3 linked regions of the Rattus norvegicus genome follow. The protein of the gene in region 1 binds, or shares a complex with, the protein of each later gene. Links are inferred from orthologs where the notes say so. Each region holds a gene or a part of one and is shown on either strand. Other genes may lie near its edges. A codon is read from its position in the direction of its gene.

Region 1 (3,646 bases):
TGCAAGGCTGGGGCCAGGGTCACATGGTAGCCTTGAGGAGGGAGGGCATGGCAGCCTCTGCACAGCCACCCACAGGCTGGTACCCATTCAAGTCTGGGGACCACAGCCATTGACGTAATCCCAAAATGCAAGAAACTTTGGCCCAATTTGTCTGTCACTCGGACGTTGCTTAATTTTTGTTATTTCTACTTACATGGTGACATTATAAACATTCCAGAAAGCAGAAAACGGTGAACTGTCTAAACCCTCTTAAAGTCCCTGCTGGGCCACCTATACCACTCTGCCTGTTTCCAGGTGTCCGAGTCTGTACTCTCTACAGGGCAAAGGGCAAAGTTCATCTCACGGGGGTTGTAAGTGTGGTTTCTAGGCTGAGGAAGTGGCTCAGTTAGAAGAGCGTTTGCCAGACAGGCCTGAAGGCCTGGGCTCCTCATATCCCACCAGTTAAGTGCACTGGTTTCATGACTGTAATTACAGCACCTCAAAGGCAGAGGAAGCAAAAACTAAAGGCCATCCACGGCTATGCAATAAATTTGAGGCTGGCCTGGGACAAAAAACAAAACAAAACAAAACAGGAAAAGAAAAGAAAAATTTAAAACGTATATGATTCGTTCTTAACTTTAAAGAAAAAAATCTGTAACTGGGCTCACATCTGTAATCCCTGATTCTTGGGAAGCTGAGACAGAGGGATTATGAGTTTGAGGCCACCCTGAGCTAAGCAGAGAGGAACCATCTCAAAAAGCATAAACACATAAATCCAAGCTGGGCAGATGATATTGAAAGCCTCGTCCCCACACCGCCTTGGGGCAGCGTCTAGGAGCCCACCTGAGCCCGTAGTTGTCACCTGCAGATGTCGAATTTCCCGACCTGCTTTTTTCCTGGCATCGTATGATAAATAATATCCCCGAACCAACTGCAACATCTCCTACCCTGTTGGCCTATTTTTCAGGGCAGAGACCGAGAGAGGCCTTTCCCGGAAGCACATAATCGAAGGTGAGGAGGGACTCTAACCATGGTGTCCCCGGCACATGACTAAAGCTAAGAAGTGTAGTGGCTCACCCTTTTTTTTCAGTGATCCAGCCCAGGTCTCGACCCTGGGGTACACTGAGCCCTCCTTTGGCCATCCCTTTCTGCTCCAAAAAGATATGAGGTGTGGGGAGGGGACCTGCAGAGGGTGTTCCCACTGGCCAGATTTTGGGGCAGGCTGAGTATGTGCTGACTGAATGGTCTTACGGGAGAGCCAGCACCTCCCTGAGCTTGTGTCAAAGGGTCTAGAAAGCAGGGCTATGAGGGTATACCCCCGACTCAGGGCTGCTGGGAATAGCAAAATGCTGCCCAGAGTGGGGGTGACTGGATGACGGCTCTACCATCCTCGAGTCACATTTCCTCTAAGTAATATTCTTTATAACGAACATCATAATGGGGGCTTTGGTACCTGGCCCTCTCACCTCAGACCCAGCTTTCACCCTAGCTGTTGCTCCGGGCTGTTGGGAGGTCAGTGGCTTGTGTATGCCCAACACCAGCAGCCTTACGTACAGTTAGTTAATACTGCACCCTCCTTGTGTGGTACCATAGCCAGCTCTGCTAGTTGCATAGAGACCACCAGGTCCTGAGAGTGGCCCAAAGGGCATGTATCCATTTGGTCTCAGGACATTTGACCAGTAGCTCCTCTGACATCCTCTGGAATGGCCAGCATGCCCACTCCCTTTAGGATGTGCCTCATGTCTTGGCATCTCCTTGGGATACTCACCTGCCCTAAAGCTCTACATGACATGAGCCTGCCCTCACCCCTCTCTTGCCCCCTGAGCCAAGTCCAAGGGTGGGTCTAGAAACACAAACAGCTGACCCTCCTGCTCTTCTCCCAGGACTGAAAGCTTCCCTGGAGAGGCTGCAGCTGGAGTACGTGGATGTGGTTTTTGCCAACCGCCCAGACCCCAACACACCCATGGAAGGTAGGTCGACCAGTTATCCCCCTTGCCAGTTCAGGTCAACCAGTTAGCTCCCTAACCACGCAGAGCAGAACCAATTCTGAAGTTTTGGTAACTGTCAAGCACACCCACACTCAGCACTCAGGACAGAGGTGGCCAGGCCCCCGGGTTGGGGAGGGATGGCCCCAGGCACTAATCTTGTTCTGTGAACTGGTTGTGTCCAGGACTTCTCCCCTGGCTGCGTTCTCTTTGCTCAGTGGTTGGTATTTTGTGCAGCGGTGTCTGTCGGGGACCACTGAACTCTTTCATTCTGGATTCCCTGGGAGGGCTTAGAGGTCTTCTGCTCTAGTGGGGTCTCATTGCCTGAAGGAGACTGAGCACTCGGTGCTTTGAAGAGCTAGCTGTCTGGGTTTCTTTAGCGTTTATTTATCCCCTCCGATGCCCGGTCCCTCCATCTCTCCCACCCGCTGCCTCGGCATCTTCTCATTTTTGCTTCGCTGCTTCAGGGACTTGGGAGGTTAAGTTGAACTGGTTATTACGTCTCCATTTGCTTTTATATATATACTGCACTTGTGTGTGTGTGTATATATATATCTATATCTCCTTTCTTTTTAACAGAACTCTGTTCTGTGCGATGATTTGTGCCCTTCTGTCCTGCCCTTTATCATACCAGGCCTCTGTGTTCCCACAGCGATAAACTCTGGTCTCTTTAAACCTTTCTTTTATCAGCAGGGGACCCATTTAGTTCCTTCAAGTCACGGACATTCATCATTGAAGGTACACAGTACCCTCATCCGACTATTGACTCTGTGTCCGAGCTGCATTTTATGAGACAGTACTTTTATTCACGACGCTCCGTCCCCCGCCCCATGACAAACTTCTCCATAAAATGCATAAGGGGTGGGGAACGTGCCCCTGTGAGGACATCGTGCAAGCAAAGCGAAAGCAAAATGGCATCCGAGCCCCTTGTTGTCCATCCATGCTGCCATCCCCATCCCCTCCCTCCCGACGTGCATGTTTCTCCCCACCCACCCCCCCAGCTCCATGCTTGCGGTGCCGTGACCTGATGAGGCCGGCTGGCTTCCTGCCGGGGTCTTCTCTTGATCTGAGGATGCTCCTCCAGTCCCTGCCTGGGAAGTTGACCTTGGATGATATGATAGGGTTTCCAGAAGGGTCCTGTGACCCCTAAGAAGACTTAATCTATCTCATAGCTCACACTTGTTAAGCTCTAGCCTCCAACAGAGGAACAGAACACCAGCCAGCAAGATACCCTGCCTACCATGCCGGTTCCTTGTGAGTGCCCTGGCTCTGTGGTCACTCATGGCTGCTCATGTAGCAGCCAGGACACTCTATCGAAATGGAGTGATTCTCTTCCTTGGAGAATATGTACATGAGTTGGCATGGTGCCAAGGCCCAGGGCATTCTTGGGCCATGCTTGGTATCTGCCTCCCCCACAATCAGCAGAACCGTCTAGAACTGCACCTCCAAGGGTAGCCATTTGTCCCCCTAGGAGCTGGGCAACATTCCAGCTGCCTGCCACCTGGTGCTGCCACCTGACCCCTCCTATGTATTATTTGTGACGCTGCAAAGATGCCCTGGGTTTTGGCTGCAGCTGGAAGGAGCTGGCACCGCTGCTTCTGTCCAGCAGTATTAATTATTGAGGTGAAAGACTGCCGTCCCTAAGTGTCACTATTTCAGGGTCCACTGACATGTTGGAGTGC
Region 2 (3,958 bases), on another chromosome or scaffold:
TGACTATAGAAACCTGAGGGTGATTGTACTTCCGGCTTAGCTTCTCTCACTCCTCATCCCGGGATCACGATAGGGTCCCGAACTCAGAAGTATCTCCCAGGAGCAGACGGGAATAAATACAAAGCATCTCTTGCTGCGGAATTCAACACAATAAACAAATGCTGAGTCCCCGTGATTTCCAAGGTGCTCTGACAGTTGCTGACAGTAGAAGTTGGGCAAGCCCTCGTTGCCATAGAGTTTGGTGGTTGGGGGAGGTGGTAGGAATGACAACAAATCACTCTTGCATCAAATTGAATTTTCAGCTCACTTCGGAGAATGAGTGGTGTACGTCTAGACAATAGTTCCTCTTTCGCAATCAACAGTAATGATTCAAGGGAAAAACAACAGAATTTTGTAACTCTGGTACTTATACTTGGGGTAGCTAAAATGTTTGGGAACAGAAATTATGTTTAAAGCAACCAGTACACTTTGAAGAAACAGTTGGGGGAGGGGGTGTAAATGTTTTTCTGTAGGCCCAAATCAAGCAAGAGAGGCACCATCTGCAAAATGAAGGCTTTTTCCACATTATCAGCTAAAGCACACCTCAAGCTCCCTACCACACAGGTGTCATGGTATTAAGTAAACTCTAGGTATCAGGCCTGTTTATCACACAGTAAGGTGTGGTGAATTTTCGTTACCACCCCCCCCCCTTATTTTTCCCACTGTCCTGACCAGAAACTTGGCCCTGATTTTATAATGCTTGCCCACACTGAGCTAGCATTATAAAAGTGAGATCTCTGAATGCCTTTAAGGACCCTCTTTTTAAGCTACTGGGAAGACTTTAGACCCTACGTTACCCATTAACTCAGTTCTGCTTCCTTACAGCATCAACACCCAGGTTCTAGCATTCTTCTACCCCAGGATGCTGGGCCCAGAGTATCCTGAACTAGCACAGACAACCTAGCTTGCAGCCCCTCCTCCCAAGACACTCAGGGTCAGGAGGCTCAGCCAGCCCTGGCCCTCGTGCTTAGGACTTTTGTTACCTATTCTGGTGGAACTTGCCCTTCCTGCTGCCCAGACAAAGTATTAAAGAGTGTTAAGGACCAGGAGGGCCTTCGAGTGCTGAGGTGTGGTCCTTGCGCGGTTCTAATAGCCCTGAGATTAGGACTCGACCACGCGCAGGAAGGGAACGCGCGCTGACCAGGGGCGAGCAAGTAGAGCCCAGGAACGTGGTCGGGCGGCCGGGTTCCTCCAAGGCCAGTCTGGCAGGGTAGGGGTTCCGCGGGGTCTGGGTAGTGGGGTGCAAGTCGAAGGCGACCCAGTGACAAAAGAAGGGCGAGGAACAGGGGTGGCAAGCGGAAAGCGGAGCGCGCGCGCGCAGTGGGCGGGAAACCCGGGGGCGGCGGCAGAGAGGCGGGCGCGCGCCTCGCGGGGAGGGGTGCGGAGGAGGGAGGAGGAGGCGTCTGGACGGTGCAGCCGGGCGGGCCGCGCCAGCCCTGACAGAGCCTCGCGGCAGCCGCAGCAACAGGCGGCGGGGCCGGGCTCGTGGGGCAGAGGCGGTGGTGGGGCGGGGAGCTCCAGGAGGAGCGACTCGGAGCTGGCCACCGCCAGCAGGGAAGGAGAGCATCGCCGCCTCCCGCGCTCGGCCGCCGCAGCCCTCCGCCCGCCACCGCGCCCACCCTGCGCTGGACCCCGCGGGCGGCGGCGCGCGCATCCTGCAGAGCCCAGGCTACGCCGAGCTGCCGCCAGACATGACCGTGGTGCCCGGGGACCACCTGCTGGAGCCAGAAGCGGCGGGAGGCGGCGGCGGGGACCCGCCTCAGGGAGGCTGTGTCAGTGGCGGCGGCTGCGACCGCTACGAACCGCTGCCGCCCGCGCTGCCCGCCGCGGGCGAGCAGGATTGCTGCGGGGAGCGCGTGGTCATCAACATCTCCGGGCTGCGCTTCGAGACACAGCTCAAGACCCTCTGCCAGTTCCCTGAGACGCTGCTAGGCGACCCCAAGCGGCGCATGCGATACTTCGACCCGCTCCGCAATGAGTACTTCTTCGACCGCAACAGACCCAGCTTCGACGCCATCCTCTACTACTACCAGTCCGGGGGCCGCATCCGCCGGCCGGTCAACGTGCCCATCGACATCTTCTCCGAGGAGATCCGCTTCTACCAACTGGGTGAGGAGGCTATGGAGAAGTTCCGTGAGGACGAGGGCTTCCTGCGGGAGGAGGAGCGACCTCTGCCCCGCCGTGACTTCCAGCGCCAGGTGTGGCTGCTCTTCGAATACCCCGAGAGCTCCGGGCCGGCCCGGGGCATTGCCATCGTGTCAGTGCTGGTCATTCTCATCTCCATTGTCATCTTCTGCTTGGAGACACTACCCGAGTTTCGCGACGAGAAGGACTATCCCGCCTCTCCGTCGCAGGACGTGTTTGAGGCTGCCAACAACAGCACGTCGGGGGCCTCCTCTGGAGCCTCCAGCTTCTCGGACCCCTTCTTCGTAGTGGAGACCCTGTGCATCATCTGGTTCTCCTTTGAGCTGCTGGTGCGATTCTTTGCTTGCCCCAGTAAAGCCACCTTCTCCAGAAATATCATGAACCTGATAGACATTGTAGCCATCATCCCTTATTTTATTACTCTGGGCACTGAGCTGGCTGAGCGACAGGGTAATGGGCAGCAGGCTATGTCACTGGCCATCCTGAGGGTCATCCGCCTAGTAAGGGTCTTCCGCATCTTCAAGCTCTCCCGCCATTCTAAGGGGCTGCAGATCCTGGGACAGACACTGAAGGCTTCCATGCGAGAGCTGGGGCTGCTCATTTTCTTCCTTTTCATTGGGGTCATCCTTTTCTCCAGTGCAGTCTACTTTGCTGAGGCAGACGACCCTTCTTCGGGTTTTAACAGTATCCCGGATGCCTTCTGGTGGGCCGTGGTAACCATGACAACTGTCGGTTATGGTGATATGCACCCAGTGACCATAGGAGGCAAGATTGTGGGCTCTCTTTGTGCCATCGCAGGTGTCTTGACCATTGCATTGCCGGTTCCTGTGATTGTTTCCAACTTCAATTACTTCTACCACCGGGAGACAGAAGGGGAAGAGCAAGCCCAGTACATGCACGTGGGAAGCTGCCAGCACCTCTCCTCTTCAGCAGAGGAGCTCCGAAAAGCCCGGAGTAACTCCACTCTGAGTAAGTCGGAGTATATGGTGATCGAAGAGGGGGGTATGAACCACAGCGCCTTCCCCCAGACCCCCTTCAAAACGGGCAACTCCACTGCCACTTGCACCACCAACAATAATCCCAACTCCTGTGTCAACATCAAAAAGATATTCACTGATGTCTAATAGATGATACGATTGCCATTCTGTGCCCAGTATTGTGTGGAACATGCCCCCTTGGTCTGTGTATGCCCTTGATTTATACATTTCCAGACCATTCATCAAGGAAAGTACATGAAGAAGTGGAAAAGCACACTTCATTCTCCCTCTCCCTATTGCTTCATACTGAAACAGGTGCCTGGTTTTGCAAGTGGGCTGCATTCTCTCAGCTCTTTTTCTCTCTCCCTCTCTCTCTCCCTGTTTCTTAATTTTGTGAACAACAAACTTACATTAAGCTTGGTTTCTTGTGCAAGCCCTAAAGCTACATCCTGAGAGGAAATGAAACTATAGAGTCAGAGTAACTGTGTGACCTCAAAAATCAAAAGATAGTTGTTTCTTTACTAAGTAAAGGAGGCAGAACTTAAATGATGCTCCTGTTCGGTGGACTTTTCAGCATTATTTCCTGACTAAGTGTAACTACTTAACCTCTGGATGTGTGGGTGGAAAGTCTAACTAGAGTGTTGACGTGTAAACCCTCTATAATTTTTTTTTTGGACTGGCCTTTCAGTATGAATCTCCCCTCTAAGAATTTCAGGTTCACAATAACTTTGAACCAAAAGGGAAATGCCCCAAATGTCCTGATCTGACTATTAACTCTTCGGAGTTTGCAAAGCATT
Region 3 (3,695 bases), on another chromosome or scaffold:
TTTAATCAAGTTGCCCTTTTCTTAGAGAATAGACTGGGATTTAGGAGAACGGGGCAGATGGAAAATCCCAACAGATTGGGACCAGTAACAGATTTGCAAGGTGCTTTCTGAACCATTCTTAATGAGTCCGGATTTTGTTAGCCTTGTATGCAATTCAGTTGATCAAAATAAAAGCATTTTTCCCCCCACTGACCACTGAGGCTGTTACATGGTGTTCCACGGGGCACACTATCTGACATGTGCTGTGCAATTTGCAAAAATTTTACAGTGGAGTTCCATGCAAATTTGAATTTTTATGTTCCTAAGTGGTCATCTGATTTTTAGGTTTAAAAAAAACAAACAAAACAACTTAAGCCAAAAGATTGGAAAAACTTCAGTACAAGGAAAGCATGAGTCTTATTTCACACAGACTACTTCATGGGCAGCGTTTTAGAAAATCCTCTTTCTTTTCTCATTTTTTAAATAAAAATGAAAATAGTTGGTTATTGGGTTGGGTTGAGTTTTTATATTTTTTGTTGGGTTTTTTTTTTCTTTTTGCTTGTTTGGTTGGTTTTGTTTTTTAAATGTGATCTTGAAAGCTTCAGGTTTGCCCACCCCCCAAATTCACAATGCAACAGTGCATTGCCAGTTAAATAAAGCATTCAAAGACTACGGTTTTAGTAAAGTATCTACAGAGTGGGACAGGAGTCGCCAAGGGTTTTGTTTGGGGGCTTTTGATTGCTTGCCTGGTGCTTTTTTTAAACATCGGTCAGGAGCTTGCTCTTATTAACGCAGTTTTGATCAGTTGCGGTGCAGTTACCAGTTCTGATATTAGCCTGCCTGTAGTGGGCTATGCTATTGTTCATGTCCTCTTCGATCTCCATGTACTCAGACTTGCTGATAGTAGAGGAGCTGCGGCGGCTGAGGTCACTGTCAGAGGCTAAGTTAGGAGAACTAACATGGAGCAACTGAGCCTGCTCTTCCCCCTCAGTTTCTCGGTGGTAGAAATAGTTGAAATTGGACACAATGACAGGTACGGGCAGGGCAATTGTCAGCACACCAGCGATGGCACACAAGGAGCCCACGATCTTGCCTCCAATTGTCACAGGGTACATGTCACCGTATCCCACAGTGGTCATGGACACCACCGCCCACCAGAAAGCATCGGGGATACTGGAGAAGTGCGACTCAGCTTCTTCCGCCTCCGCAAAGTACACTGCACTAGAAAACAGTATGACGCCAATGAAGAGGAAAAAGATGAGCAGCCCTAACTCCCTCATACTAGCTTTGAGGGTCTGGCCCAGGATCTGAAGGCCCTTGGAGTGGCGGGAGAGTTTGAAGATTCTGAACACCCTTACCAAGCGGATGACCCTGAGGATGGCCAGGGAAGTGGCCTGCTCGCCCTTCTGATTCCCCTCCTGCTCAGCTATCTCTGTGCCCAGGGTAATGAAATAAGGGATGATGGCCACAATGTCGATGAAGTTCATGATGTTCTTAAAGAAGTCTGTCTTGCTGGGGCAGGCGAAGAAGCGCACCACCAGCTCAAAAGAGAACCAGATGATACACAAGGTTTCCACAATGAAGAAAGGGTCTGTGAAGATGTTAGAAGTGTAGATGACTGTGGTGTTATCGATGCGGTGAATGGTGCCCGTGAAGTCCTTGTCATCCTTCAGCTCAGGGAGAGTCTCCAGGCAAAAGATGACTATGGAGATGAGGATGACCATGACGGATACAATGGCAATAACCCGTGCAGGTCCTGAGCTCTCCGGATACTCAAAGAGCAGCCACACCTGGCGCTGGTACTCCTTCTCGGGTAGGGGGCGCTCCTCTTCCTTGATGAAGCCCTCATCTTCCCGGAACTTCTCCATGGCCTCCTCGCCCAACTCGTAAAATTTAATCTCCTCGGAGAACATGTCCAGGGGCACGTTGACCGGCCTGCGCAGGCGCCCCCCCGACTGGTAGTAATAAAGGATGGCATCGAAGCTGGGCCGGTTGCGGTCAAAGAAGTACTCATTCCTCAGAGGGTCAAAGTAGCGCATGCGTTTCTTCGGGTTGCCCAGCAGCGTGTTGGGGAACTGGGCCAGAGTCTTGAGCTGCGTCTCGAAGCGCAGCCCGGAGATGTTGATCACCACGCGCTCGCAGCATTCGTGGTCGTCGTGGTCCGCCTGCCTTGGGTAGCTGCCATCCTGGGGGTGACCTGGAGCGGCCGAAGCCTCGTCTGCATTCTCCCCTGACATCACCGTCATGATGGATGCAGGGTGCAGGGGTAGGAGGCCAGGAGAGAGCCCGGGGTGTAAAGGAGCGAGGGAGTAGGGGTGGGGGGGACCCAAACGGCCCCCCCACCGGAGAGTGAGTCTCCCCCACGCTCACAGGGAGGGGCTTCAGACCCAGAAGGTTCAGAGGTCTACAACTTTGCTAATTATCACCTCCCCTCCTCCACTCTGCCTTTTACCCAATTTGGAAACTCCTCTCGCCTAAGGGCCCCCAGTGAAGCTTTTTTTTTTTTTTTTTTGAGGTGGGGGTGCTCTGTTTTTGTGTTGGTGAATGGGTTTTTCTTCCTGATCTGATTGTCTTAACGCACACCTGCCATGACTTCGGGGCTCGCCCCGGCTCCCTTCCCCTCCTGCAGCCCTCCTAGGACCCGGTGCAGTGCCAACTCAGCAGATCCCCGGGCCTGGCACCCACTTTGCTGCTCCTTGGCTCTCCCCCCTCCTACCCCTCTTCGCCTGCCGCCTTCTAAGCTCCCACCGGGGCGATCGATGGACGCTGCGGAGAAATAAAAAGTGATACGAGGGTAGAAAATCAGAAGCATTCGGATGGGACGAACCTAAAGACACCGAAGAGCACAGACTACCACCTTTTGTAGAACACACCGGACTTTTACTGGGGTTAACACATACTCACAGACAGACACACAACAGACACCCAGAAATCCAAGTTTGGAAATCTTCCATCCCACTTTTCCCAACGCCCAACAGCCGATCTGTTTACAACTCCGTTAAACTGGAGATCGGGAAAGCGCTTAGCGATACTGGAGGAGCTGCGGGTCCTAGGCAGCAACCCCTCACCCTCAGCCTCCCCCACCCTGTCACCCCTATCTCGAATTCTGCAGCCCCGAACTAGGGAGCTTCCTACCTGGCGGACCGGCTTGGCGCAGAGGCGGTACTGAGACGGCGGAGAGTCTGAATGCGGCAGGTCGCCTTTGCAGCAGCCGGAGCGAGCAGCCGCCACCACCGCAGCAGCACGCGAGAGGCTCCGGCCCCTGGCGGTTCGCGTCCTTCTCCTCTCAGGAGTCCGATCGTTTTATCGAGCAGCTACGGAGGAAACGTCCGTACCCTACCCCCATTCTCGCACGGTGCAAGCAAACAGGAGATGCTGTCCTCTGTCTGGGGCAGAAAGTCCCGGAGGATGCGGGGTGGAAAAACAAAAAGGCCACCTTCTCCCGAGTCACCCAAGCAAATGGCGATAAGCTTCACTCTCGCCCCCTCCGAACACTACGGGAGCCCTTGATTCGATCCCGAGGGAGGCGGGCGGCTCAAAGCCTGGCTCTACATGGCTCTCGGGTAACCTGCACTCTCCGTACCACAGCACGGACCTCGTTCCGCGGCGCGCCGCGAGCCTTCAGCAGCTTGGAGTGGGGCAGGGAGCGTGTGGCCGCAGGTCCGCTCGGTCCATTTCTGGGCGCTGCAAGATCAGCAGAAACCTGAGAAAGCGCC

The links.
Region 2: the proteins of Kcnab2 (region 1) and Kcna3 are in contact, whole or in part, in a cryo-EM structure (PDB 7EJ2), measured with the Homo sapiens proteins. The link is inferred for Rattus norvegicus from reciprocal best matches to the Homo sapiens genes KCNAB2 and KCNA3. Residues at the interface, in NP_001186789.1 of Homo sapiens: Met196, Tyr199, Ser200, Arg203, Glu231, His234, Lys235, Ile236; in NP_002223.3 of Homo sapiens: Pro133, Met137, Phe140, Pro142, Leu143, Asn145, Tyr147.
Region 3: the proteins of Kcnab2 (region 1) and Kcna1 are in contact, whole or in part, in a crystal structure (PDB 1EXB), measured with the Rattus norvegicus proteins. Residues at the interface, in NP_059000.1 of Rattus norvegicus: Met196, Tyr199, Ser200, Arg203, Glu231, Lys235, Ile236; in NP_775118.1 of Rattus norvegicus: Glu37 (codon at 2,117), Met70 (codon at 2,018), Phe73 (codon at 2,009), Asp74 (codon at 2,006), Pro75 (codon at 2,003), Leu76 (codon at 2,000), Asn78 (codon at 1,994), Tyr80 (codon at 1,988).

What each region holds. Positions count from the first base shown.
Region 1 is NC_086023.1:168,190,761-168,194,406, reverse strand, and holds part of Kcnab2 (voltage-gated potassium channel subunit beta-2), read left to right. Parts: intron 1-946; coding exon 947-990; intron 991-1,862; coding exon 1,863-1,949; intron 1,950-2,654; coding exon of another isoform or gene 2,655-2,702; intron 2,703-3,646.
Region 2 is NC_086020.1:197,318,848-197,322,805, forward strand, and holds Kcna3 (potassium voltage-gated channel subfamily A member 3), read left to right. Parts: upstream 1-1,476; 5' UTR 1,477-1,730; coding exon 1,731-3,308; 3' UTR 3,309-3,430; downstream 3,431-3,958.
Region 3 is NC_086022.1:161,155,016-161,158,710, forward strand, and holds Kcna1 (potassium voltage-gated channel subfamily A member 1), read right to left. Parts: upstream 2,260-3,695; 5' UTR 2,226-2,259; coding exon 738-2,225; 3' UTR 514-737; downstream 1-513. UniProt on the Homo sapiens protein: Voltage-gated potassium channel that mediates transmembrane potassium transport in excitable membranes, primarily in the brain and the central nervous system, but also in the kidney.